2 linked regions of the Ovis aries genome follow. The protein of the gene in region 2 interacts with the protein of the main gene of each other region in a pairwise test. Links are inferred from orthologs where the notes say so. Each region holds a gene or a part of one and is shown on either strand. Other genes may lie near its edges.

Region 1 (3,600 bases), on a different chromosome or scaffold from region 2:
CAAAATGTAGATTAGACAGAGTGTAGACTGAGGCGGAGACAAATGACAGGGGCAGGGAGTGTGGCCTGATGTCGTTCACTGCTCCCCAAACCAGAAGGAACCTCCTACCTACTATTTAGAAGACTGAGATCTCAGACCTCAGTAGGTCCTGACATGGCCCATCTTGAGTCCCAGGCTTCCCGTTCCCATTTCTGTCTCTTTCCATTTTCAGCTCCATTCTGAGCTGACGATGTCACCCTATCTTCTGTGAAAGGGTCCTTCTTCCCTGCCCCAGCCCCTCCAGGACCCTTCCCTGCATCTTGGGGTGTAAGCGTGTCCTTTTTGCTAAGTCTTGCCCCCTATCAGTAACTCCCCAGCCTGAATGATCCTTCCACCCTTCCCTTCCCTTCCCTGTTAATCATCTTGGGCCCGCCATTCATTCATTTATCAAACATTTTATAAGCAGTCCTATGTGCCAGGCCCCTACTCAGCAATGCTGAGGACCACGGAAGGAAACCTGACCTAGGCCCTGCATCACTCCCACCCTGCCCCCGTGGGTCTAAGAGGTGTTGGGGGCGTGGGAGTCATGTAAGCAGTGATAACGGCATGCTCACAGTTTGATGGAGGAACATTAGACACTTAAGAGAAGATATTTAACCTGGCCTAGACTAGCGGAGGGCCTGAGTCCCCGGTGTGACACCCCAATCCCCCAAAGCCCCGCCCCCAACACAAATAGGGCAGTGTGAAGATGCTGTCCCTCAGCCGCAGGGACTTCTGATAACGCCCCTTCTCAGATCCAACCCTTTAGCCTCTACCTGCTCAGCCCCTGTCCCAGGGCTGATCTAGGCCACGCCCCTCTCAGCCCCTCCCCTATTTCATTCACGCCCGAAGTCCCACCGCCCGGGAGGGCAACTGCACAACAATATCGCAATCTCATTGGCCAGAAAGCGTTACTTCACCGCCCTCCTTCAGTGTCATTGGCTCGCTAGATGTCAATTTTCTTTATAGCGGCCCAACAGTTGCCATGGCCGAGGTTTGAGGGACAGATAATAATAGACGTCCCAGGACGTCTCATTACTGGGCAAAAAGCCCGGCTCTGGGCGGGGCTTAGCGCCAAACGCTCGCCTGCCTCTGTCTGCGGTTCCTCAGGGACGCAGTCTTTCCTCAGAGACACACCCCTCTCTCCTCGCTATTGGTCATGCCAAATGTTGATCAACAGGGCGCCACATTTCGATAGGCAAAACTATCCGTCCTTCACTGCTTCCCTAACTTCAATTCGCTTCTCTCCTTAAAGGCGGCAACCTTCTGGCCGTAGCCAGGGCCCGCCTTACGATATGACCAAGGATTGGCCAAACACGCCATCACTCCTTGACAGTGGGCGGAGCCAGAGCGGCTGGGGGCGGTGAATTGGCTGACTGGGCCTCGGGGGCGGGGCAGCGGCTCCTGTCAGCGGGTGAAATGGCAGCGGCGGAGCCGGCGGCGACCGCGGTCCCGGGGGGCGGCTGAGGGGGCCGGGCCGGGCCGGGGCTGCGGGGCGAGCGACACGGCGGGGATCCGGCGGCGCGGCCCGGGACGGCGAGACTTGACATGGCGATGGCGCGCTCTTCACAGGTAGGTAGGCGGCACGGGCCGGGCCTCCCGGGCGCCTTCTCAGGCCCGCGGCTCCGCGTTGCGGCCCACGGGGGCCGGGCAAGACCGGGACTCCGGGCCCCTTGCCCCGGAACCCGCCCCGGGAGCCCTCGGCACTCCCAGCACGGACACTGGCCGTCAGCCTCGGGCCCTGGCCCCTGCACATCCTCGTTCCTGGAGCTTCCCGACCCCTCTGGGCCCCTCCCAGGACCCTTCCAGGTGCCCTCCTCCCCCACACAGCGCCCTTCCCGGGAGCCCCCCTCAGGCCCGTGACCCCCGCTTACCCTCTTTACTGATCCTCAGGACCCCTTTCCAGGCCCTTCAGGGCTCCCCCAGTCACCACCCCACAGACCCGCCCCCTGCAAATGCCCCCTACCCCGCCGCAAGCCCAGGACCCCCGCCCTCCCTCTCTCCGGATCCCCCAAGACTCCTTTCATCTGTAGACCCCTGGTCACGCCGTCCCTCTTCTCACTTCATATCCCATCCCTGGGCCCAGACCTGCCCCCACCCCCAAAGATACCAGCCTTAGAGCCATACCCCTCCAGTCTGACCCCTCCTCAGCCTCTGTAAATCTGGATTCCTGCCCACAAGCCTCACCTCAGCCTGCTGGCCCATCTCCCACTCCCAGAAGCCCCATGCCCAAGGGCACCCCTGAAAACCACTCCTGGGATCCTCCACACACACACCCCTGAACCTGATTCCCCTCAATCCCTGCTCCTGAAAATCCACCCTCACTTTGTGCTTGGAACAGCCCAACAGATAGTCTGAACCCCCCAACCAGGGACACCCACCCCTCTGAGGGCTCCACTCACTTGCACAGACACACACACACCTGAGAGCTAACAGAGCAAAAGCTATGAATCCTCAACAGCTCATACTGATATGAGTATGAGGGGCCCAGGGTGGGTGTGATAGACGGCCTGGACCCCTCATACACAGACATTCAGGAGCCCTTCACACAAACACACACACACAGAGTCTGACTCTTGGATCCCCAGCACACACAGAAACACTTAAGACCTCCAACACAGACCCAGGCAGTTGGGAACCCCCAACTTGCCTCCCATACACACACACACACACACACACACACACACCACACACTTGCCTCCCATACACACACACGTGCATGCATGTGTGCACACACACACACTTGTCTCCCACGCGCGCACACATGTGCATGCACACGCACACACACACTTGCCTCCCATACACACATGCGCATGCACACACACACACACAACTCCTCAGCACTTTAGCACTCCTCCTTGGAATTCACCTGCCCAAGTCCTCCTGGAAGCCGCCACCAGCTCCCAGCTCAGGCAGAGACTCCGATGTCAACTGCCTGCCCTGCCCCAGATGGCCAGCCTTTCCGTCCACACCAGCCTGCCTGAACCGGTACCCTCACCGTAGCCTTGCAGGTGGCAGAGTGACCCAGAATCTCCCAGCATCCCTGTGGACACCTGTCCCAGACCTCTTCCCATTCATCCATCTCTCCCCATTCATCCATCTCTCTCCCTTCAAAGGGAAGGATGCTCCCTCTTTCTCTCCCCTACACCAGTCTCCCCCAAAGACCCAGTGCCTTCCCCCTGATTGATGCCACCCGTGGCATAGGCTGGGGGTGCCGGCTGCCCCTGGCCCCAGTCCTGAAGTCTGACCAGACTGGTAGGACCAGCATCCTGACCCCATCACGCCTGCTGGCCTCAGATGGCAGCAGCTCCCCAGATGCCGCCCATGACTGGCCCGGGAGCTCCTTCCCCCATGGCCAGTGTGTCATGAGAAAATGAAACAGCTTCCACCCACCCTGGCATTTGGGACCCGGTGGGGCTGGGTTTGGGCCTGCCAGAAGCAGGCAGCTCTTTGTTAAGGAATATTTTCAGAAGGGAAAAATGTGCTGAAGAGGCTCGGGTGGAACACGAGTGAGGAATTGGCTTGGTTTTGGTTTTTATTTTTTTTTTCCCCACCTTGGCCTGACTGGGATGGAGCTGGGCG
Region 2 (10,878 bases):
CTTGTATTTCTCACCCTCAACACGCTCTGACTCTTGTTACAATTGTTCCTGCGGTGGTTCTGGGAATGTTATTTTTTTTATGAAATAAAATTTTTTATTATAAATTTAATATACTTTCAGAACTTTTAGAAAATAAGAAAAAGAAACCTGTATACTATTTATCTCTACTCACCTTCAATCCAACCACTCTTATGTTGGTGTATTTCCTTTAGTTTTTTTTTTCTCCAGGGATCTGTTTTACACATGGTTGAATTGGGGGTGTTTTGCATTAAGTTTCTTTCTTTAACACTGATCATCATCATTTTCTGGGTTGCTCTCTAACCTTTGTTTTAAGAAAGTGTTAGTTGCCCAGTTGTGTCCGACTCTTTGCCATCCTATGGACTGTAGTCCACAGGCTCCTCTGTCCATAGGATTCTCCAAGCAAGAATACTGGAGTGAGTTGCCATTCCCTTCTCCAGCAGATCTTTCTGACCCAGGGATCGAACCCCAGTCTCCTGCATTGCTTCCAGATTCTTTACCACTGAGCCACCAGGGAAGCCAGTTTATTTTAAATGGTCACTTGTATTATTTTAGGCTTGGCAGTGATTTACATAAACATTGCCCATTTTTCCAAATAATTCAATTTCTTCCTTGTATGCAAGGCTAGGCTATTTTCATTTTTTTTCCTGGGATAGGAAAAGAAGAGAAAATTAAGGAACTACTGCCTTTGATGTGTCAGTGTTTTAACTGATCTCATTGAAACCTTTTATCATAACTTTGGGGTCGATATTATTTAATTCTGTTTTACAGAAGAGGAAAGAGGGAGGCTGGGGTTAAGTCACACCCAAGGTCACACAGCATCACCCAAGGTCACACAGCAATTTTACTGGCAGCACTGGGGCTGGAGCCAGGTTTCCTGACTTGAGCTACCTCATGGATATCACAGCCTTCACACTTAATGGGCTTTGCAGATGGCCCTTGCTGCTGTCTCCTCTGTCCTCTTCCTTCCAGTACAGACAGCCACTTCTCAGCTGCTCTTGTTCCAAGTGGCACAGAATGAGCTGTCCTTACCTATATCTCACCTTGTAATGCTGTGTCCTAATGTCACCCCAGAACCCCCTACATGGGGTCCTTCCTGTGGGAAGATGGGAAAGGCCTCGTGACAGGGCCTCTCCCCTCTCCGGGCCTCTCCCCCTTCCAGTCCTCTCTGCCACCTCCCTTTTCGTGGCGCGTTGTAGCATCCTTGAGGGCATATTGGGTCGGGCTCCTAGGGAACAGAAGGTGGACCAAATGTTCCAGGACTCACCTGGGAATGAAGCCAGTCCAGGTGGGGACTGACCCTGAAACAACCTGGGGCCCTTGGTGGCCCTCTTCCTCAAGGAGGCTCAGTGGGCCACCCCCAGTCCAGCCCTGTCCTTTGGGCCTTTGTTTCTCCCAGCATCCTGTGGTCTACCTGCTCTAGTCCTGCTCACTGGCCCAGATTTCACAACCTCAGAGCCAGACGTGACATCAGAATGTACATATCCAACTCTGCCTTTCTCTTTTTTTCTTATCAAATACACTTTTTAGGCTTTTTTTCTGGGTGGGGGGCGCTGTACTCTGTGGCTTGTGGGATCTTAGTTCCCCAACAAGGACTGAAGCCAAGCCCTAGGCAGTGAAGGTGGTAAGTCTCTTTTTTTCTTTTAGACTTTTTATTTTGAAATGATTTGAGGTTTCCAGTTGAGTCGCAGAGATACTACAGGAAGTTCCCAGTTAGCCTTCATCTAGCTTCCTCGCATGGTAACATCGTAAATAACCATGGTGGTGGTACTAAATTGCTTCAGTCGTGTCCACCTCTTTGCAACCCTATGAATGGTAGCCCGCCAGGCTCCTCTCTAGGCATAATACTGGGGTGGGTTGCCATGTCCTCCTCCAGGGGATCTTCCCAACCCAGGGATCGAACCCTTGTCTCTTAACATCTCCTACATTGGCAGGTGGGTTCTTTACCACTAGCACCACCTGGGAAGCCCATGTAACCAGGGTACAGTGATCAAAATATAAGAAACTGGTACTGATACAACTCTATTAACTAAGCAACAGACTTTATTGGGCTTTCACCAGTTTTGTTTGAGGATCCACTCATTTTCCTTACAGGTGGCCTTGAGGGTAGATGTGGCTCCCTCGAGGTCACTCGGGAAGCTAGTGGTAGGGCACAGGTTGAAGTCTGGCCTCCTCCTCCCAGTGCCCTGGGCTGCTGCCCTCCTCACCCTTCCTGCTTTGTCCAGGGCCAGGGCTGCTGCTCCTTTAAAGAACTCTAACTTTATAGACACCCTTCCCCCACCTTGCTTGCCTGGCCCGATTCTGAGGTTGCCTACACTGTCTTTCTGCACACGTGCTCACATGCACATGCTTGTCCACAGGCCCTGAAATGGCTGGTCCAAGCCTGGCTCCTGTGGGCGCTGGAAGCATTGCACCGCAGGGCCAACCAGTTCAGCCACTTCTGTTCACTGGGCTGCATGTGGCCACCCACACAAGCCAGTGCTCTAGCCTCTGTGGGAATGGAGGACGCAGAGCACATTTGATGGAGCCCTACCTTGGTTTCAGGTTCTAGAGGTTTCTATCTCAGCACCTCTCCCTCCCTCAGCTTTTCCAGTTCTGCCTTAGGGTCTCTCCTGTCTCCTGTCTCCATCTGGTGTGTGCCCTCTGACACCTGGAGACAGTCACTTTCTGTTGTCCTTCTCAGCATCTCGGAAGGCCTGGTAAAGAACCCTCCTGCCGATGCAGGAGACATAAGAGAGGTGGGTTCTACCCCTGGGTCAGGAAGATCCCCTGCTGGAGGACATGGCAACACACACACATTCCCCATTCTTATCTGGGGAATCCCATGGACAGAGGAGCCTGGCAGGCTATAGTCCATGGAGTCGCAAAAAGAGTCAGACATGACTGAAGTGGCTTAGCATGGTACAGCACAACCCCCTCTAGGGCCTTCCACCCATGGGGCCCTTCACTGTTTACAGCTGGTTTTCAAGTTTCTCTCATGTGCTTCCCATCACCGGGGTGATTAGGTCCACTCAACTGGCGAGGAACGCTTTGCCCAGTGATAATGGGGAGAGTGGAGCCGCGGTTTGCCACAGTCTTTGCTCTTCCAGGCAGTTAGGCTGTCTGGTGTTTATCTTAGGCCGCCTCTGAGGCTTTCAGAGCCCTGCCCAGACATGATCTCACTCTCTCTCAAATCATCCCTGGGAGGCAGAAGGGAGTCTGGGATGAATGCTGTCCCCATTTCACAGATGTGAAAATAAAGGTCTAAACACACACAGACATGCGTGTGTGCCTGGCAAATATGTGAAAAAGTTGCTTTGCAGTCCTGGGAGCCTGATTTCAGCCCTGTTAATTCAGTTGTTTGGAACGTTTGAGGTCTTGGTTGGGGTGGGGGCGGCAGCGTTCACAAGTGCCTCACATGATTGCAGCTCCCCCAGGGATAACCCACAGCTTAATCCAGTGCCCTGCCTCCAGAGACCTTGCAGTCAGTTTAGTATTTGAGAAGGGCCTAAGGAGGCTTATCTGGCGTGGCTGGAATTCCCCAGACTAAGGTCTAGTTCATGGTGGCCCTTAGGCACATTTCATAAGTGAGCCTTTGGTAGCCACAAAGGCTGTGGCCAGGAGAGCCCAGGCTGGAGCCTTGCTGGGCTGCTTGGTGGTGGTGACCCATGCTGGACAGTCCAAAGAGTTCCTCTCATGATGGCTCACCTTCACAGTAGTCCTGGGAAGGAAGAGCTGTTAGCAACTTATTGTAGAAAAAAACAGAGACATCACTTTGCCAACAAAGGTCCATATTGTCAAATCTATGGTTTTTCCAGTAGTCATGTATGGATGTGTTAGACCATAAAAAAAACTGAATGCCAAAGAACTGATGCTTTCAAATTGTGGTGTTGGAGGACTTCTGAAAGTCCCTTGGACAGCAAGAAGATGAAACCAGTCAATCTTAAAGGAAATCAACCCTGAACATTTATTGGAAGGACTGATGCTGAAGCTGAAACTCCAATACTTTGGCCACCTAATGTGAAGAGACAACTCACTGGAAAAGACCCTGATTCTAGGAAAGATTGAGGGCAGGAGGAGGGGACGACAGGATGAGATGGCTGGATGGCATCACCAACTCAATGGACATGAGTTTGAGCAAACTCTGGGAGATGGTAAAGGACAGGGAAGCCTAGCGTGCTGTAGTCCGTGTCTCACAAAGAGTTGGACATGACTTAGCAACTGAATGACAAGAAAGACAAGGAAACAGGCCCACAAAACAGACCCACAAACAAGTCCCTGACGCTATTAGGGCACAGGATCAACCAGGGAGCAATGGCTGGGCATCCAACTCCAAGTCCAATGCTTAGCTCCACCAAGCTACTGTCCCCCCAAAAAGGGGCATGACCAAAGCCAGGAGGAGGGAAAAGGGAGCCCTCACTGGGACTGAGCTCCTCAGTCCTGAGAAGAGGTTAAAGGAAGAAGGAAAGGTCAGGCTGGGGGAGAAGAAGGAGCTCCTGAAATCAACCCACACCTTGCTCTCAACAGACCAGAACCCCACCAACGCAGCGGTGGTGGAGCGTGGGGCAGGGGGCGAAAGGGGGGCGGAGGGGAGGCGGGGGGGCTGGGGGGGCGGGGGCGGTAATAACAAAGTTGAAGGAGCAGTACCCATCCCCTGAAGGGGAGAGGGCCCGGACCCTGCTTAGGAAATGCGCTGGACTGGAGGCCGGGACAAGGTTGATGACGGCTACGCGCACTGACGTCTGCTCCAAGTTCTGCCTCCCATGGCCAGGCACAGCTCGACCATCCCAGCTCTGCAATCTCCCTCCTCTGAGCGCCTGCAGCATCTCATGCCCAAATCAATTTTTTGAACCAATCCTGTAGCACTCGCCTTATAAGTCAGCTGGCTTTCCATTATTTGTCTACGTCCACCTTTCCAACTAGATCAGAATCTTCTCCAAGGCAGGAGCTCTTGTCCTCCCTGCCACGTGACAGCCAGTACTTTCTCAGTAGAGAAATAAGGTTATTTGGGAAGTGTCATTCAGGGCAATGCCGTGGTTTGTTTACAAGTGCTGGACACTGGGTCCACGCCGCGGGCCCGGTGACGTCTTCGGGTTTGTGATGTCACCGTCGCTGGCTGCTGCGCCGCTCCGCAGCCTGCGGGCAGGTGACGTCACCGTCGGAACCCGTGCAGACAAGTGCACGCCGGAGGAATTAGCGAGGCTGGCGGCCTGAGATGCCGGGAAAGAGGAGGAACCGATGCAACGGCAGATGCAGTGTGGCGTCCGCACCACCGGGGCTGGGCGCCTAGCCCCTTTATGGACTGGCTCCGCCCCCGCCGTGACCTTTGCGCGCCAGCCAATCCGAGCCGGCCGCGGTGACGCGCAGCCTATCAGCGTCCACAACACGCCGGGCGCTTCCGTGTTCGCGAGCGCACCCGACCCGAGTCCTCAGGGGGAGGGGGCGAGGCCGACGGGCCCCACCGTCACCCACGTACAACCCACCAGGCTCGGCCGATCTGCGGTTCCCGGCCCGCCGCCTCTCGGGGGACCTTATGGCTTCGGAAGGCCTGAGAGGGGCGCTGACGGCCGTGCTGGGGGGCCGGGGGCTGCTCGTGCAGAACTATGATTCGGGGCCGGCTGGGGAGCCGCCGGCGCCGGTGCGGCTGCGGAAGAATGTCTGCTACGTGGTGCTGGCCGTGTTCCTCAACGAGCAGGTGAGCGTCCGCCCGTCGGGCCCACCGCCCAGGTCTCTGGGGCTCGCAGCCAGCCCCGGTAGGGAACAAAGGACGTACCGGCAACAGCCACAGCTTCCTGGTGTGTGGCTCTTCCCAGTTTTGCAAAGCACTTTCACACTTAACATCTGAGCCTTGAGCAGCGCAGCCCTGCGATCCTCCCAACGTACAAGGGAGGAAACTGAGGTTCACGAGCCTGTTTAATCCCACCAGGCCTCAGTTCCTTGAGAGGAGGCTGTCTTACTCCTCTTCCATTTTCCCCAGAAGCTAGCGCGGTGCCCGCCATGGAGTGGGCTTAAAAACCTGTCCAGTGCTTCAGAGGCTTCCCCTCGGCCCCATGGGCAGTAAGTGGACAATTTTTCCTTACACCCAGGCCTCTGACCCCCTGTTTGATGCTCCGATTGGTGTTGATCCCTGTACATGGTGCGGTAACAACAGCTAGAACGGGTCAGAGCCATAGGTAGGAGTTGTTTGGCGTGAGGGTTTGGGGTGTGTTTCAAAGCCTAAGCAGGCCACACAGAGTTTGTAAACCGTGAGGGGAGGTGAGAGATATACTGTGACTTGTGCAGATGCTAATCAGTGCAGGACGCTGGGCAACCAATCCCTGGAGGCCTAATCTCCAGCCCCTGAAGTAGCTACCAGAATTCTTAACCCCTTTCTGAAATGGAAACCTGAATGCAGGGAAAGATGAACTGCAGAGACCGCTGCAGTCCCCATACCCAGGGCCAGTCCCCTGGAGAACTCAGCAATTTCAGGGTGGCCCCTGGGATGTGGGTACTGAGCGACTATATCTGAGATTGGAGCTGGACCCAGAGCAAGTGAAGGCTGCTGGCTCTGCTGCCCCCCCTGGAGCTCCCATCCCAGCTGTGGTGGGCGAGGACCCTCTCTCTCCCCCTCAGGATGAGGTGCTACTGGTCCAGGAGGCCAAGAAGGAGTGCCGTGGGTCGTGGTACCTTCCTGCGGGGCGGATGGAGCCTGGGGAGACCATTGTGGAGGCGCTGCAGCGGGAGGTGAAGGAGGAGGCCGGGCTGCAGTGTGAGCCTCTGACGTTGCTGTCTGTGGAGGAGCGGGGCCCCTCCTGGATCCGCTTCGCATTCCTCACCCGCCCCACAGGTATGGCCCAGCAGGTGGGCAGCGTGGGCTGAGGGCAGTAGATACCAGTCCCCTGGCTTGTCCTCAGGTGAGATGAGCCCCTAGTCTGGCTAGGATAACCCTGGCATCTCCAGATTCCAGACTGAACACCTGATCCTGGGCCTCCCCCCTGGGTCACAGCTGGAACCCTGGGTGGCCCTTTATTCTACCAGGCCCAGCACTTCATTCAACATAGACCTTTTCTCCCTCCCTGTGCCCTGGAGAAGGAAATGGCAACCCACTCCAGTATTCTTGTTTGGGAAATCCCATGGACAGAGGAGCCTGGTGGGCTACAGTCTGTGGGGTTGCAGAGTTGGACACAACTGAGCACATCCCCTGCATCTCCACCAGGTGGAATTCTCAAGACTCCCAAGGAAGCAGATGCAGAGTCCCTACAGGCTGGCTGGTACCCACGAACCTCACTGCCTACCCCACTGCGGGCCCAGGACATTCTTCATCTGGTCAACCTTGCTGCCCAGTATCGCCAGCGAGCCAGGCACCCTCTCCTCCTTCCCCAAGAGCTTCCCTGCAGTCTGGTCTGCCAGCGACTTGTGGCCACCTTCACCAGCTTCCAGACAGTGTGGGTGTTGGTGGGCACAGTGGGGACGCCTCACTTGCCTGTCACCGCCTGTGGCTTCGCTCCCATGGAGCAGAGGGGTGGCATCAAGATGGCCGTCCTGCGGCTGCTACAGGAGTGTCTGACCCTGCACCACTTGGCAGTAGAGACCAAGGGGTTGCTTGGACTGCAACACCTGGGCAAAGACCTAACGGATGGCATCTGCATGAACGTGCTGGTCACCGTGGCTTTTCGGAATCCGGGTCTCCAAAACGAGCCCCCAAAGGTTCGGGGTGAGAACTTCTTTTGGTGGAAGGTGGTGGAGGAAGACCTGCAAAACCAGCTTTTACAGCGGCTTCGGGACTCATCTGTCGTCCCAATCAACAGATAGGAGGTGGGCGTCAGTGGGCCGGAGCAAGGCATTCGTGCTTTGGAGGAAGTTTTTGCTTTGGAGCGGGGCAGGGGTGTGGCAGTCAGAGATCTTCTTGCATGAGGACCTGAGCAGTTCTCCTGGCTCCCAGGGGGACTGCCCTCTCTTGTCACCACGGAGCAGGTCCCTGCACAGCACCCAAAGGGACAATGCCTTCAGCTGAACAAGGAGTCCAGAGCTCGGGGACCCAGTTGCCCTGAAATTCCAATGAGGGCAGGACTCCCTAAGGGGACGTGAGGACCTTCGGGACCTGAGGTGGCATCTCCTCATTTTCTGTGCCCTTGCCAGATGCTAGGCACTTGGAACATGGAATGGGTGTGGGGGAGGTCATTCCAAGGGAGAGGGTCCCTGGCTGAGTAAATAAGTGTTACTGACTTTGCATTCCCACCTATATGTTTCTGTGGGTCGGACTTGAGCTGGAAGGGGGAACTGCTATCAAGAGAAGCTCCTCCCCTCATCCCATGGAAACCACACAGGCCTTCCCAGACAGCAGGTGACCGGCTGGCAGACTCCCTTTGTCCACCACAGCTTGACGCAGGCCTGCCGGGTGGGATGTGGGCACACACCCTCCAAGGTCTGAGCAGTGAGATGCCCAGAAGCTTCAGGTGGGCGAGGAGCTGTGAGAGCTGCCCGTCTCTTTTCTCCTGAGTTTCTCTGAGGGATCAGCGTCGCTCCGCCCCCAGGCTCATTCCTGCCTCTGCCCTGGTACAACTCCAGCCCAAAGCCAGACCAAAACCCTCTCTTCATTCCCCTTAGCTCAGCTGAATCATGGTAGAAATTATTATTTTTTTTTTAAAGAACTTTACTGAAGTTTAAGGGAAAACCAAAGGAAATGAAGAAATATGTACTGACTGCTATACACGCATCACTGGATGTACAGTTTTGGTTCTGAGCAGGGAAAATACTTGGCTGGGTTTCCCTCCTGAAGTAACTCCACTCTGACGCCCAAGGACCAGGACAACCTCAGAGGCCCCTGCCCTGCCTCTCTGGCTGCCATCTTGTTTTTCTGACCTCTGGAGCTGTGCTAGGAACCCACTTGTTCCCTCTAAAGACTTCTTCCAAATGAAGGAATCAAACCCTTTTATTCTGGATCCCTTCTCTTAGTGTCTGAGGGACCCACTGGTCTGTAAGCACACTGGACAGTGACCTTTACTTCCAGTATTTAGCCTATTATTAATAGTTTTCAACCCTTCCCTGGTGGCTCAGACAGTAGAGTCCACTTGCAATGCAGGAAACCTGGATTTGATCCCTGGGTCGGGAAGAGCTCTTGGAGAAGGGAATGGCAACCCACTCCAGTATTCTTGCCTGGAGAATCCCATGGACAGAGGAGCCTGGTGGGCTACAGTCCATCGGGTCAGAAAGAGTCGGACACGATTGAGCACCTAACTCTAGCACTTTCAACCCCAGGTACCCCCTAGAATCACCTGGAGAGCCTTAAAAGAGCAATTGTGGGTGTGCCCTTAGAGATCTGATTAACTGATGGAGGGTGGGACCAGGGCATCGGTATTTTTAAAAGCAGCCCAAGTGACTGGAACATGCCAGGAGGTGAAAGCCACTGATCAGCCCTCCCTCTTGCCTTGCCTGGAGGACTCTTGGTGACCTTCCTCCCCAGAGCATCTCCACGCACTCAGGGACTAGATTTTTTTAAATATGAGGCCCAGGACTTCCCTGGCATCCACACGCAATGCAGGGGGCACAGGTTTCATCCCTGGCCAGGGAACTAGATCCCACACACTGCACAGTGCTGCAAAAAATAAAAATCAGGCCCACTGTTCACCACTAAAGCAGTCATACCTTTCACAACACAAACCCTGCAAAGGAGACTTGTGCACGGATGCCCCAGGTGGCCCATTCCCTAGAGTGTCTCTGGAGCTGCCGGCTCTCAGCTGTAGGCAGGCCGAGCAGAAATAGAGCTCCCTGCCCAAGAGAGGCCGGTTTCCCGGTTCCTGGCAGGCGCTGGGGGAACATCACATTTGCGCTGCCAGAGCCTGCCCGTTTACCACCCGCCCCCACCACACAGACACTGCCCTCCCTCTGCTCCTGTGCTGGGAGAGGAACTGAATTCGTCTTCCTTAGGGAGGAAGATGTGCCTGAATGAGCAGTGGAGCCCTGGGCAAAAGGACACGGGGAGGACAGAGAAAAATGGGGCAGCCATGACCACGCAACCACACCATTTATTGCCATGCTGTCTGGGGAGACACTGTGCGAATGTTCAAGTGCATTGAGGAGGGGAGGGTCTGACTCCCGGACGCTTGAACGTTCTTTCTGAGTCGAAGAGTCCAGACCCAGTTCACCGCCTCGTTCCATGCTAACGCCCATGCGTGGGCACACGCAGGGACTTGCACGGTGTCCTCGGGAACAGCAGGTAAATCCTCCCCAGCTTGGAGGAACGCAGGAGAGGTAGAGGTCACTGAGTTTCCTCTGCTTTCATGTCACCTCCTGGCAACCTGTGGCCGGCTTCTAGAAGCGGCATGGGCAGGAAAAGGAAGCGAAAGGGGCTCTGGCCTGCTCCTCCTTGCCCAGGAGTTAAGCCAGCAACTGCAGTTTGCTGTGAGGTAATGCCTGGCGCCGCCTGTGTGTTCCTGCAGGTCGAGACAGATTTGGGCCGGGTGGGGTGGCAGCCCCAGCCGCAGAGGGCACGCTGGGAGAACGGCACCGCAAAGGACTGCCTGTGCCCCAGCCCCACCCTGCCAGGCCTTGGGGTCGAGAGGGGGTGGGGGAGGGACGAGGGGGCAGGCTGCGGGCCAGTGGGCACCCTGGCCTCACCTGGACCCGGACCTTCCGGCTCTGCTGGGAACAGTATTCTGTGGAGGACCCCAGCCGAATGCTTGGGGTGAGGCCTGGCCTCCCCGGGTCTCTGAGCCCCTCTGCCCAGGTGCTGTGGACCTGCCGAGACGGGTTCAGAAGGCGCCAGCGAGAAACCAGCTGGAGCTGGAGCCTGGCATCCAGCCCCCCGGCTTCCCAGGCCCTCTCCTGCCCTGGCTGCAGTTACTTCAAGCTTCTCATTAGCAGCTGCCCCCGCCTGGCTGTGGAACATGCTTTGGGCATTTG

What was found.
Region 1: the proteins of NUDT18 (region 2) and EVI5L interact in binary tests that used the Homo sapiens proteins (3 or more experiments, as listed by UniProt). The two-hybrid records come from large-scale screens. The link is inferred for Ovis aries from reciprocal best matches to the Homo sapiens genes NUDT18 and EVI5L.

The regions. Positions count from the first base shown.
Region 1 is NC_056058.1:14,341,925-14,345,524, forward strand, and holds the start of EVI5L (EVI5-like protein), read left to right. Parts: upstream 1-1,424; 5' UTR 1,425-1,590; intron 1,591-3,600. UniProt on the Homo sapiens protein: Functions as a GTPase-activating protein (GAP) with a broad specificity.
Region 2 is NC_056055.1:43,494,597-43,505,474, forward strand, and holds NUDT18 (8-oxo-dGDP phosphatase NUDT18), read left to right. Parts: upstream 1-5,405; 5' UTR 5,406-5,530; coding exon 5,531-5,692; intron 5,693-6,609; coding exon 6,610-6,823; intron 6,824-7,192; coding exon 7,193-7,788; 3' UTR 7,789-8,201; downstream 8,202-10,878. UniProt on the Homo sapiens protein: Mediates the hydrolysis of oxidized nucleoside diphosphate derivatives. Hydrolyzes 8-oxo-7,8-dihydroguanine (8-oxo-Gua)-containing deoxyribo- and ribonucleoside diphosphates to the monophosphates. Hydrolyzes 8-oxo-dGDP and 8-oxo-GDP with the same efficiencies.